Linked DNA regions of Diceros bicornis minor. The protein of the gene in region 3 interacts with the protein of the main gene of each other region in a biochemical or structural test. Links are inferred from orthologs where the notes say so. Each region holds a gene or a part of one and is shown on either strand. Other genes may lie near its edges.

What was found.
Region 1: the proteins of FGFR1 (region 3) and FGF4 form a complex in vitro, tested with the Homo sapiens proteins (2 studies listed by BioGRID and IntAct, with this or other methods). The link is inferred for Diceros bicornis minor from reciprocal best matches to the Homo sapiens genes FGFR1 and FGF4.
Region 2: the proteins of FGFR1 (region 3) and NCAM1 form a complex in vitro, tested with the Homo sapiens proteins (2 studies listed by BioGRID and IntAct). The link is inferred for Diceros bicornis minor from reciprocal best matches to the Homo sapiens genes FGFR1 and NCAM1.

What each region holds. Positions count from the first base shown.
Region 1 is NC_080770.1:4,397,339-4,401,079, reverse strand, and holds FGF4 (fibroblast growth factor 4), read right to left. Parts: upstream 2,800-3,741; 5' UTR 2,502-2,799; coding exon 2,162-2,501; intron 1,549-2,161; coding exon 1,445-1,548; intron 973-1,444; coding exon 796-972; 3' UTR 572-795; downstream 1-571. UniProt on the Homo sapiens protein: Plays an important role in the regulation of embryonic development, cell proliferation, and cell differentiation. Required for normal limb and cardiac valve development during embryogenesis.
Region 2 is NC_080746.1:23,382,197-23,385,937, forward strand, and holds the start of NCAM1 (neural cell adhesion molecule 1), read right to left. Parts: upstream 2,615-3,741; 5' UTR 2,415-2,614; coding exon 2,363-2,414; intron 1-2,362.
Region 3 is NC_080768.1:35,047,689-35,051,429, reverse strand, and holds the start of FGFR1 (fibroblast growth factor receptor 1), read left to right. Parts: upstream 1-983; 5' UTR 984-1,604; intron 1,605-3,741. UniProt on the Homo sapiens protein: Tyrosine-protein kinase that acts as a cell-surface receptor for fibroblast growth factors and plays an essential role in the regulation of embryonic development, cell proliferation, differentiation and migration.

The DNA.
Region 1 (3,741 bases), on a different chromosome or scaffold from region 3:
TAGGTTGTGGTTGCAAATACACCCATCTTGTCCATTTCCAGCCTTCCGGGGGGATATGGATTCCAATTTACAAAATTGCTTCGTTTTTGCCTTTTCCCCAATGGCCACAGAGAAGCATGGGCTGTGGCTGATCCCAAAAAGGAAAACAGGAGTTTATAAAATTGTCCAAGGATCTCCCCCATCTGGTAGATGGAGGAAGATTGACTACAGGAAAGTTCAAAGGTCGGTCTTGGCAGATCTAAAAACAGAGAGGCAGCAGGGGACTGGCAGTGCACTTTCTGTCCCCGAAGTAAACCGATATGTCCTGATTCATAGCAACGGGGCACAAAGAGTGGGGCAGAGGAGGGTGCGAGGAGAGGGGCTGAGACTGGGAGCTTCCTTGGCTGGCTTCCGAAGCCCTAGGAAGGTCTTTCCAGCCACAGGGATACTCACCCCCAAACTACAGGGGACGGTGCAAAGCTGGGTTGATATCAGAGTCTGATGTGACCAGTTTTAAAACACAGAATAGCAGCACACTGTGACAACATCTGACACATTCCATAAATCCAGTGGAAGCATCTCCACTGTTTCCCCAGAAAAGTCAGGGTTGTTTTTTTCTTTTTTTCCCCCAGAAAAATACAAAACACACCCAGAGAACCATAAATAATTTGGTGGCAATATATACACATTTAAATAATTAATTTAAATATCTTACACCTACTCTGGCATTCAACTGTCCATCCAAAGAAAGTGCCCCCAGGTGGTCCTTGGCGCTCCCCTCTGGCGGCCTCCTGAGGCTGAGGCAGAGTTCTGGGGTCACAGTCTGGGGAGGAAGTGGGTCACCTTCATGGTGGGTGACACTCGGTTCCCCTTCTTGGGCTTCCCGTTCTTGCTGAGGGCGATGAACATGCCGGGGTGCCTGTGGCACTCGTAGGAGTTGTAGTTGTTGGGGAGCAGAGTCTCTCTGAACTTGCACTCGTCGGTGAAGAAAGGCTGGGGGGAAGGAGGAGCAGTGTTAGGTTGGGCCACCTCCTGGCCAAGGGACCCTGGGGGCTCCTTTCTGTCCCAGCCGCCCCCCTTTGGCTGAGAAGTCTCTCCTGGGAAGTTGGGGTACCCAAACCCTCACACAGTCAGGCTACAGCAGCTGATGCTCCAGCCACCTGCCCAGCACCTGCAGCCACTGTGTCCACCCTAAAGACTGCAGTCCTGCCCGCCGGGCCGGCCCCAGAGGCTACAGACAAGGGTTCCCAGTGGCACCCTTTGACCGACACGCAGGGATGGCGGAAAGCTCACTGTTCCTGTCTTGGAATAGCGCCCCCTTCTCCGGGCTGGCCCCGGGGCCTCTGGCGGGGTGAGGGCAGTGCCAATCCTGGGACCCCTCCGCAGTTCCACGATCCACGGGTAGGCGAGCGACGCTGCCCGCGCTGGCCAGCCGGGGGTTCGGCCCGGCCGGTGCTGTACTCACCGAGCCGTACAGCTTGCCCTTGCTGCTCATGGCCACGAAGAACCGACTGGCCACGCCAAAGATGCTCACCACGCCCCGCTCCACCGGCGAAAGCTCCAGCAAGCCTGGGGGCGGGGCGAGGGTCATTCCCGGGCAAGGGACCTTTGGCCCGCACCGCCCGTCCCGGACCCCCTCATCGGCCTGCGAACCTCCAGGACCCATTTCTGGGGTGGGGGTGGGTGTAAAGGGCCCGGGATATCGGCCGCAGGCTGCACCCAAAGGGCCCCCGGAGCCCAGCGACCTCGGGCGCGGACTCTCTCGCCGCCTGTCCCGGACCCGCGGCGGCCGCGCCCGGTCCCGGACAACAGGAGGGAGGCGACTTCGGCGGCCCCCGGGCCCGGGCCCGACCTGGGCGTGCGTCCCGGGACCCCGCGGGCGCCGGTGGCTGCGCCGTGCGCCCTATGCCCACGGGCGAAGGCGCTGGAATTCGGCGCCAGGAGCCTGGGCTTCCGAAGGCGGAGAGGCGGGACTCGGCCGCCGGGGTGGCAAAGCCGGTCCCTGCGGCGACTCCCGGAACCTGGAGTGTTTGCGTCCCTGCGCCAGGGGGACCGGAACCCGAGACCGCCCGGTTCCCAGAGCCCGCGAGCAGGTGCCAGCCCGGGACCTTCGTGCGCGAGTTGGAAGGAGCGGCCGCCGCCCCGGCCCCCCGGCCCTTCCCGCCCGGCCCGCCGCACTCACTGTCGCTCGTGTCCGCGTGCACGCCACCGATGCGGCCGTCGGGGAGCACCTGGAGGTGGAAGCCGATGCCCACGTTGCAATAGAGCCGCCGCAGCCGCTTGATGCCCAGCAGGTAGTCGCCGGCGCCGCTCTGGACGGCCGCCTCCTTGGGCTGCGCGGCCACGGGCAGGCGAGCCAGCGAGCGCGCCACCAGGCTCTCCCAGCGGCGCTCCAGCTCGGCCTCCAGCGTGCCGTTGGGTGCGGTGGGCGCGGCGGCGCCCCCTCGACCGGCCCAGGGCGCCAGCAGGGCCAGCAGGACCGCCGGGAGCAGCGCCGCCGCGGCCGCCCCGGGCCCCGCCATCCCCGCCCTCGGGCCGTGCGTCCGTCAGTCGGTCCGTGCGCCCGGGAAGCCGGGGGGCCGAGCTGCGCCTGTGGCGGCCCGCGGGAGCGCACGGCCTGGGGCGGGCAGGGAGTGCGCGGCCGACGGAGGAGCGGGAAGCGAGCGACGGGGCCCCCAGGCGCGGGGAGCTACCCGGGCTGCATGGAGCGGCGGGCAGCGGCCGAAGGACGCACAACCCGGGCTGGGACCCTGCGGAGCGGTGCGCGCCTCCCTGCGCGCTGGGCCGGCCCGGGGCCAGGCCGCTATATATAGCCGGGCGCCCCCTCCTACTCCCGCGGGGGGCCGTTCGCGTTCGCCTGGGCGCCCGGGGCGCTGTGGCGCTCGCGGCTGGTCGCAGGCCGCCTGCCAATCAGGGCTGGGGGAGGGGTGGCGGCCGGGGACGAGCGCTGCGAGTGCCACCTGGAGGGTCCCCAGTCCCCACCCCTGGCTTCGCCCGGCCCACGGACCTGTTTGTCCCGCCCCTCGCATCTCCTCCACTCCTGCTTTCCAGCCAGAGTTTTCCCTCGTGCTTCGTCCCTCCCCGTCCCGTATCTGTGTGTCCTCTTAGCCTCTGTTCCAGCAGCCTGGGTGCCGCCCTAAGCCGGCACCCTCAGCACTCTCAGCTCCCAGCAGCCACTCTTTGCGCTTTGCCCCTCAGGGACTCCCAGGAACCTGGTTCCTTGGCGGGGATCATGCGGTCCCACCTGGGAATGAGGGGTGGGTAGAGGCAGGAAGCAACACCAGCGCCTGGGGGAGGAAGAAGACCCCAGCCGCTGCAGGCCGGGGAGAGGCAAGCCCTGGGTTGGGCCCCCTGCGCTCTGGGTGATTCAGGGATGGAGTTCTGTATCCCAGGTGGTGGCTTCGCCTGAGCAGGTGCCTCCAGGAAGGCACTGCTAAGGGAAGGCAGGAGGTGAGGAGTGGGGCTGCACCCAGGGGAGGCCACAGCCCTGCACCCCATCTACACCCACCTCCATGCAAGGACAGGTGGTAGGGCGCAGGGGACATTCACTGTCCCCATCCCCTTTGATTCCGAAGCAGGAACGTTCAAGTGCCATAGCCAGAGCCCCCAACCTAGCAGGGACCCTGGCAGGCCTCTGGAAAACTCCCCTCCCCCACCTGCTGTCCCCACACCCCACTGTGCCCATTATGGCCTGATGGGGGCGGGACTCACTAGAGGCCCGGAGAGATGCTGGCTCACCTAGGTGTGAAAATGTCTGTTCTG
Region 2 (3,741 bases), on a different chromosome or scaffold from region 3:
TATGGTAGAAACAATACTTTAATGGAAAATTATTTCTCTTTGAAAAACCGCTCAACTTCTTTCTTTTGTTAAGCAATGCAATCTTTTATGTTTCATGCTCTGCCTTCTTCCCATCCTCACAGTACTAGGGCCAGAAATGAGGACGCATTCCTTTCAGGGAACATTGGTCAGAATACCACCTTTGACTGGACAGCTGCAAACGTCTCAACCTGGGATTCCCTGGGCGTGTACCGCATACAACTCCCCGGGGATCCAAACACTGAGGGCTACACTCATCACGATGACGGAAAGGACTGCGGGGCAATCCCCCAAAGGCCCACCAAAGATCAGGTCTCCACTGTCACGCCCCCACCTAGAGGGGAGAAAGTCTCAGAAACACAAACCCCTGAGCCTGGAGGTCGTGCCGCGGAGACCTGGGGCGCGATGGAAAAAGGCAAGCCCCGGGCGGCCCCCTGCCAGGTGGCGGCGGGGACCCAGCGACGTGCGGACCGGCGTTGGCCTTCTGCCGGCCCCCCACCCCCCGCCCGACGAGGCCCCGCCCCCGCATCGCCCCGCCCCCAGCTTCGCCCACAGCCCACTGCCCGCCGGTCGGCGCACGCGCGTCGGAGCGCCCTGCCACGGCGCTCTCCAAATCCACGCGCTCAGGTCGGGACTACGCGGCGGGAGTGTGTGCTGAAGCCGGCGGGAGGATGCTCCAAGTCAGCGTGAAAGGGGTGCGAGTGGGCGGGCACCTGCCAGTGACCACCTGGATTCCATTTTATTTCCTCGGAAACTGCGGGGCAAGCAGGGTACCGGCCGCAGGGCGGGGTTCCTCCCGGCGGGGGATGAGCGAGACCGTTAGGCTGGAACACCGGGAGACGGTCCTGGCAGCTCCGGGCCGCCACCCGCGCCGCAATAAAAGCCTCTCGCGGCTTCCCGCCCAGCCAGCCTCGCTCTGATTGGTCGCCAAGGGAGGGACCCGAGTTGGCTGGAGGCGGCGGCCGAGCGCTGCTCTCGTGCCGCCCGGGGAGGGGGCGCGCTGGGTGCTCCCCGACCGCCTTGCGCGCTCCCCCACCCAGGCTCGGCCGTCTAGAGCAGCTCCAGCGGCACCTGGCAGCGGCGACCACGACTCAGCCCCCTCCGCCGGGTTTCCTCGGGCGCTCCCCAGCACACGCCCCTCGCGCAGAATGTCCGCCCACCCCACCCAGCTCTCGGCGGCCCCTGCTCCTTTTCTTATCCCTTCCCGTCCAAAGCACAAATCCTGGGGTAGGGTGGGGTGGGGCTGGGTGGCGGGAGCAGCTGGAGGGGAGGGTGGGCACGCACAGAAGAATCTTCCAGGGAGGCCGGGATGGAAATACTCAAAATGAAATGAACCTCCCTCCCGGCCGCCGAGGTTCTCTGGGCGGCGGCACAGCCCCCGCCACCCATGGCAGCATCAGTCTTCCTCCCAGCTCCCTATTGTTCGCACTTTGCAAGGATAAGGAACCCCGTCCAAAGAAAGGAGACTGGGGCGAGGTGCTTCGGGCGGCTACCTGCCATTCTTCTCGCGCACCGTGCAACACGGGGCTCGAGGTGCGTGTGAAGGCACACGCGCGCACACACACATCGGGCATCCCGGATCACGCCCTCCGCCCCTCCTCACTTCCTCCTGTCAAAACGCGGCGCTCGACCCTCCCATCCCTCGGTGCTCCGGACCGAGAGCCGGCTTTGCAACTAACCAGCAATTTGGCAAATGAAAAACTAACGTCATATCGATGGGGGTGCAACAACGGTCACACAGCCCTGAGACTCTGCCCATTTCGCCCCATTTTGCAAACCGCTATTCGGCCCGGGGCGGGGCGGGGGGGCGGGGGGTGGGGGCGCGAACGCGGCGAGCCCCACTTTATTAGACCTGGGGAAATAACGATCGGAGGCGGCTTCCCCGGCCTTATTGTTCACTCTTCCCGGAGCCCGAGCTGACAAGCCCCTTCCCGGCGGAATCCGAGCCTGTGCGGTGGCACCACCGAGCAGCCGCATCCCCCGCCCCGCCGCCCGCCTTCGGGGAAGGAGCGCTGCCCAACACCGGCGCGGCCGCAGCGTTCCTGAGAGCGGGCGGCTCCGCTCCCAGCGCCGCGGACACACAAAGTGGGAAGGGCGGACACGCTGGAGGGGCGCCCGCCGCTCGCTGCGCGGGGAGGCAGCCCCTGTCCAGCGCAGCCCAGGAGAGCGCGGGGCTCGACTGGGCAGCAAGGGCGACGCGCTCATTCCTCAGCTTAATGGAAATGACCACCCTTAGCATTCCATGTAAAACCATCCGAAATAACAGTGTTCCTCGGGGAAAGAGCCAGGGGAGGGAGACAATGAGTAAACCAGATTGAGAATAATAACAATTTAAAAAATGTACCTGCAGTTCCCAGGAAAAACAAAGTCCAGATGAGATCCTTAGTTTGCAGCATTGTAATCTGCTGGCTGGGAGGGATGTTCTTGCCGCCGTAAATTCTGTGCCGCCCCCCCCCTTGCAGCGAGTGTGGATGGCGGCAGAGCAACAGACCTAGGGGCAGACAATTGCCAGGCTGAGTATGATTATTTTTGCAGAATTGTTTCCTGCCAGCGGCTGCCGAGCTGCGTTCACGCGCTGATCAGAGAATGAGTGACAGTCCCAGCCTCAGCACACTCGCAACTCGGAGATCCTTGCGCTGGCCCGGGTTCGCTTTGATGGAACTGGGGATGGGAGCGGGGGGCGGGGGGCGGGGGTGAAAACCTCACTGTGTCCTTCCACCACGCCGGCCACAAATAGTGCCGAACATCAAGGAGGTAAGAGAGACAGGGGAGGCAGATGCGGCCGCCTGCAAAACGCGGCCTGGAACTGCCGGAGGAGTCGGGCTCCTTCATACGCTGTCTTCCAGGCAGAGCTGGGATTTCTTCTTTTCACACTTCTCCGCCACGCCTCCGCGGTCCTTCTTGCCATTCAGCCTTCCTTAATCAGAAGGCTGGATATTTTAATAACTAATAAATAATAAAAACAAAATCTTAGGTTTGGTTAGGTTTTCAAAGTTGTTGAATCTGTCCATTTAGATCCCAAGATCCTTGAAACACAAGGAAAACCTAGGACTTAATTTTTTTTGTAAGTGCAAGAAATTAGAAATTTGGAGACGGATAGGAATTGCTGTTGAGAGGTTTTGTTTTTGTTTGCTTGTTTGTTTGTGTTATACCGGCTATGAAGTTTCCTCTTCCACAGAGAGGCAACAGATCTCAGGAGAGGAGATGGGAAACGACTTTAAGTTAGAAGAAAACGCAGATGTTTAGAAGGAATTTCTAGAAATAACCGAAGGGAAATGTTTTCGTGTTTATAAATGCTGAAATCTGTGGTCTCTTTATGAAGATCACCAAGGCTTTTTATGTAGGTTTTATGGTAGAGGCACGATATTAAATAATATTTTCTTACAGTGGCACACAACCTCAATTTTTAAGGATATTAATGTAGAATACCACTGAGGTACCAACACAAAGGGTTTCAATAAATCTTATAGCTGTATTTTAAACAGAAGACGGTGGAGGAGCAGGGCGAAAATCAACATGTTTCAGCACCTGAGCCAGTCTTTAGTGTTTAAGAAACAAAAGGTGAGGAAGAGTCAGGAGCTCACAGTGTTCTAGATGCTGGAAGAACCCATTAGCCTAGCGGGGTGAACCCCTCCCAGAGGAAGGCTGCCAACGCTCGAAGCACCAATGCACCCATATTACCACGTACTCCCTTTTTCTTTAAAGGTCGGGCTCTCCACTGCT
Region 3 (3,741 bases):
CATACCTAGTGTGGCATCCTCCTCACCCTACCAGTGGTCCCCATCTTGGCACCACGGAGCCATAAAAAAAAGTACAGACTCTTTGCTCCTTCCTGGGACAGCCTGATTCCTCAGGTCTGAGCAGGTCCAAGAATATGTATTTTTCAGAAGTTCCTCAGAGGACTCATGTACATTTGGATTAGGGAACCACTTAGATTATACCATCCTATGGAAGGACCCAGGGGAAAGGGCATTTTAGCCACTTTTCCTGGGGTTCCATAGAGTGCTGGAGAGTGCCCTGGGTGGGAACGGATTAATTTCCAAACTAGCAACACCCTCCAGCTCCCTCCACTCATTCTTTACTTTCGAAACATTTACTGCAGGCTGGAGACTTCTGGAGGCCAAGAAGTGCGCTGTAGAATTTACCGGACCCAGCTCCCCGTGGACCCCCAAACCAAAACTATGTAGCTGGGGAACGTGAGATGGAAGGAGAGGGTCTGAGGAGGGGTTCGACCTTCTCCTGAATAAAAATAGCTTGTATTTCTTGAGTAACTATGTGCCAAGCCCTCACTTAATCCTCAACCCTATGCGGCAAGTATTATTATCGCCCTTTTACAGATGAGAAAACTGAGATGTCGAGTGAGAAAAGCATTTCTCCAAGACACACAGTCAGACTTCCAAAGCCCGTGCTACCACGGACAACCTTCGGGCTACAAGTCTCCTAACCTCACCCCCTAACCCGTTAATGTGTCCACGGCTTGAAATTCGGGCGCCCTCCTGGCGGTGCTCAGATGGAGGGGCACGCGCGCCAGAGGAGACCAGCGTGCAGGGAAGGAGGGGCAGAGTTCCAGGCAGCTCCGCCGGCTCCCCCCTTCCCGGGGGCCGCGGCTCGGGAACTACAAGGCCCAGCAGGCTGCTGCAGGGGGAGGAGGAGGAGGTGGGACCAGCGCGGGGTGGGAGTGAGAGAGCGAGCCCTTGCGCCTCGCCGGCGCACAGCGCTCGGAGCGCTCCTGCGGGCACTGGTGCGGCGGGCTCGGCAGCAGGCGGCAGCGAGCAGGAGCCCGAACTCTGGTCCAGCCGCCGCGCGCGGAGGAGCCCGGGCTGTGCCCGGAGCTGGGCGGCAACGTCCGGAGAGGACCGAGACTCTGCTTAGCGCATTGCGGCGACCTCGCCTTCCCCGGCCGCGAGCGCGCGCCGCAGCTGGAAAAGCAGCGGAGACCGAGGACTTTTCGCTGGTCCGAGGGGCGCCCCGCAGGGCGCACCGTACCAGGGCTGCAGTCGGGCACGCCGCGGCGCCGGGGCGATGGAGCCCGGTCTGCAAGAAGCTTGAGGCGCCGCCGCCCGGTTCTGGAAAGGGGGGCCACAGGGTCTGGAGACCCCGGGCGGCGGACGGGAGCCCTCCCCCCGCCCCGCCTCCGGGGCACCAGCTTCGGCTCCATTGTTCCCGCCCGAGCTGGAGGCGCCGAGCACCGAGCGCCACCGGGAGTCGAGCGCCGGCCGCCGGGCTCTTGCGGCCCCGCCAGGACCCGAGCGGAGCCCGGGGGTGGCGGGCCGGAGCCGGGGACGCGGGCGCCCGCACAAGCCACGGCGGACTCTCCAGAGGCGGAACCGCAGCGCCGAGTGAGGTAAGAGCCGCGGCGCCCCCAGATCCGGGGCGGGCTTGGCGTCCCGAGCGGCCCCCGGCGCCGGAGCCTCCCGGCTGCGCGCTCTCCCCACCGAAGCCCAGTCGGATCCGGCGCCTCCCTCTACTCCTTACCCGCCCCCCTCCAACTCCCGACTCCCCCCCAGCGCTCTGCGCCCCCCTTTTGTCTCCCCTCCCTTCCCTCCGCTCGCGTCGCCTCTGCGCCCCCTCCCCGCGCTCGTCCCGCCGCTCCTCCTGCCGCCCAACTTTTCCGCCAACTCGCGCTGAGGAGCTGGCGAGGCGGCGGCGGCGGCTCCGCGGTGAGTCCGGGGAGGGACAGGGCCGGGGCGAAGGCGGCAGCCGCCCTCAGTGTCCTCGGACTGGGGAGGAGGGCGGGAGTGGGCAGCGAGAGGGGGAGTGTGTGTGTGTGTGCGCGTGTGCGTGTGTGTGTGTGTTGCATTCCACTCCGTCTCTTTTTTGAATTGGGGACTCACCCCAATTCAGCAGGTAGCTTTGGGTGGAACCCTAAAAATTCAGGGTGTTTCTAAGTCCTTTTCCACCTCCGGGAAAGTCTGGGGTCGGGGTTTGGCGGGGGGGCGCATGATGAGGCAAGGAACTGGAGGAGTAGGTTAGCTTCTCTCCGATTAGGTTTTAAGGAGGTGTCGTCACCAAATGGCTGCATCTGCTTTAGCGGAGAGCGAGAAAGGAATTCCCTTTTCCAGAGGGGGTTATCTTCTATTTAGTCCATCTCAGAAAGGGTCGGAAGTTTGGGGAAGGGGAGGGCGCCCAGCGGGTGATGTTAAGCCCCATTATGGGGTCGGGGGGAGGGGAATGTTCAGTTCCAATCTGGTTCTAGGAGGTGGGGGAAGGGATGAGGGTTTTGTCCGGTGCGGTTCACTCGGCAGCGATGCATGTTGCTTCTCTGGCCCAGACCCTTCTGCCCCCTGCTCCCCTCTCGCATTATGTTTGGGGTTGGGAGAGAGGGGCTAGAACCCTCATCTGCAGAGGAATTTATGGACGTTATAGATGGAGTTCATTTAACACATGTCCTATGAAGGCAGCCAGCCGCCTTTGGGGAGGGGGTGTGAGACCAGCTTCTCTTTTCTGGGCCCGGAAGCTGTTCGTCCATTTAAAAGTTTCTGGGTGTCTTTCACCCCCAACACTTTTCCCCCCATTTTCCAGATGTAGCGGCCACATCTGGTTCCGTTTCTCCCCACACGGGTACACCGCAGCCACATTATTAACATCCCTCTTCCTCCCTTCTCTCTCCCCCAGATTAAAACTGAGATTCTTCGACTGGTCCTTACCACCTTCCTCTGTAAAATTTCTTAAGACTTGGAGGCTTTGGGATTGAGGGAGAAAAGAAGGTTACCCTGGATCTCGGGTTATTTAGGATCAGATGGTGGTGGTGCTTTCTAGCTTGTGCAGAAAAGAGGCATCGTGGGCAGGATCGTAGGAGATAGGGCCAAGGTCTTAGGGGGTGTCACTTGCGAAAGGTTCATCTGCCAGAGGTGGCCTCTTTGGCCATGGGTCTGACCCACAACTGTCCCTGACGGAAGTTTCTGGAACCAAAGCGTTGCTTTTTCGTCCCTTCAGTTACAGCTGGAGCAGCGGGAGCGTCGGACTCTGTCCGGAGCCCGCCGTCCGGTCTCCGGCCGCCCGGCGGTGGCGTCACGCGTCCCTTTTCCACCCTCTCTGGAGCGAGCCCGTGCGCGGCGGCCGAGGGTGTGTATGGGGGCGGGGGCTGTTGCGTGCTCCTTTGCGTTTTAAGGAGCTATTTGGGCTGCAGTCCCCGGAAATTGAAGTGGGCCAGTTTGCCACTTAAATAACGGCTCCAGGTTTGAAAGCAGGGGTGGGATTGTTGAGGAGGTTTTGGTAAAATCCTTTAAGGTAGGAAAGCACCTTATGGCCCAAAGTGGCGGCAGGGTGGGGCGAGTTGGTCTCTCTCACCCTCTCCTTTCCAGTCTCTTTCAAATTGAAAACACCGCTCTGGTTTCCTCCTTTGGGCGGTAGTTTTGGAGGCTGTAATGAAATCGCACTTTCTCTAGACATGGTAATTAACGTGCCTGTTTCCTCCGCACATGTGCCCTGCCCTTTGCACCTCCGGACCAGCGCTTTTTTTGGAATACCATCTAAACTGT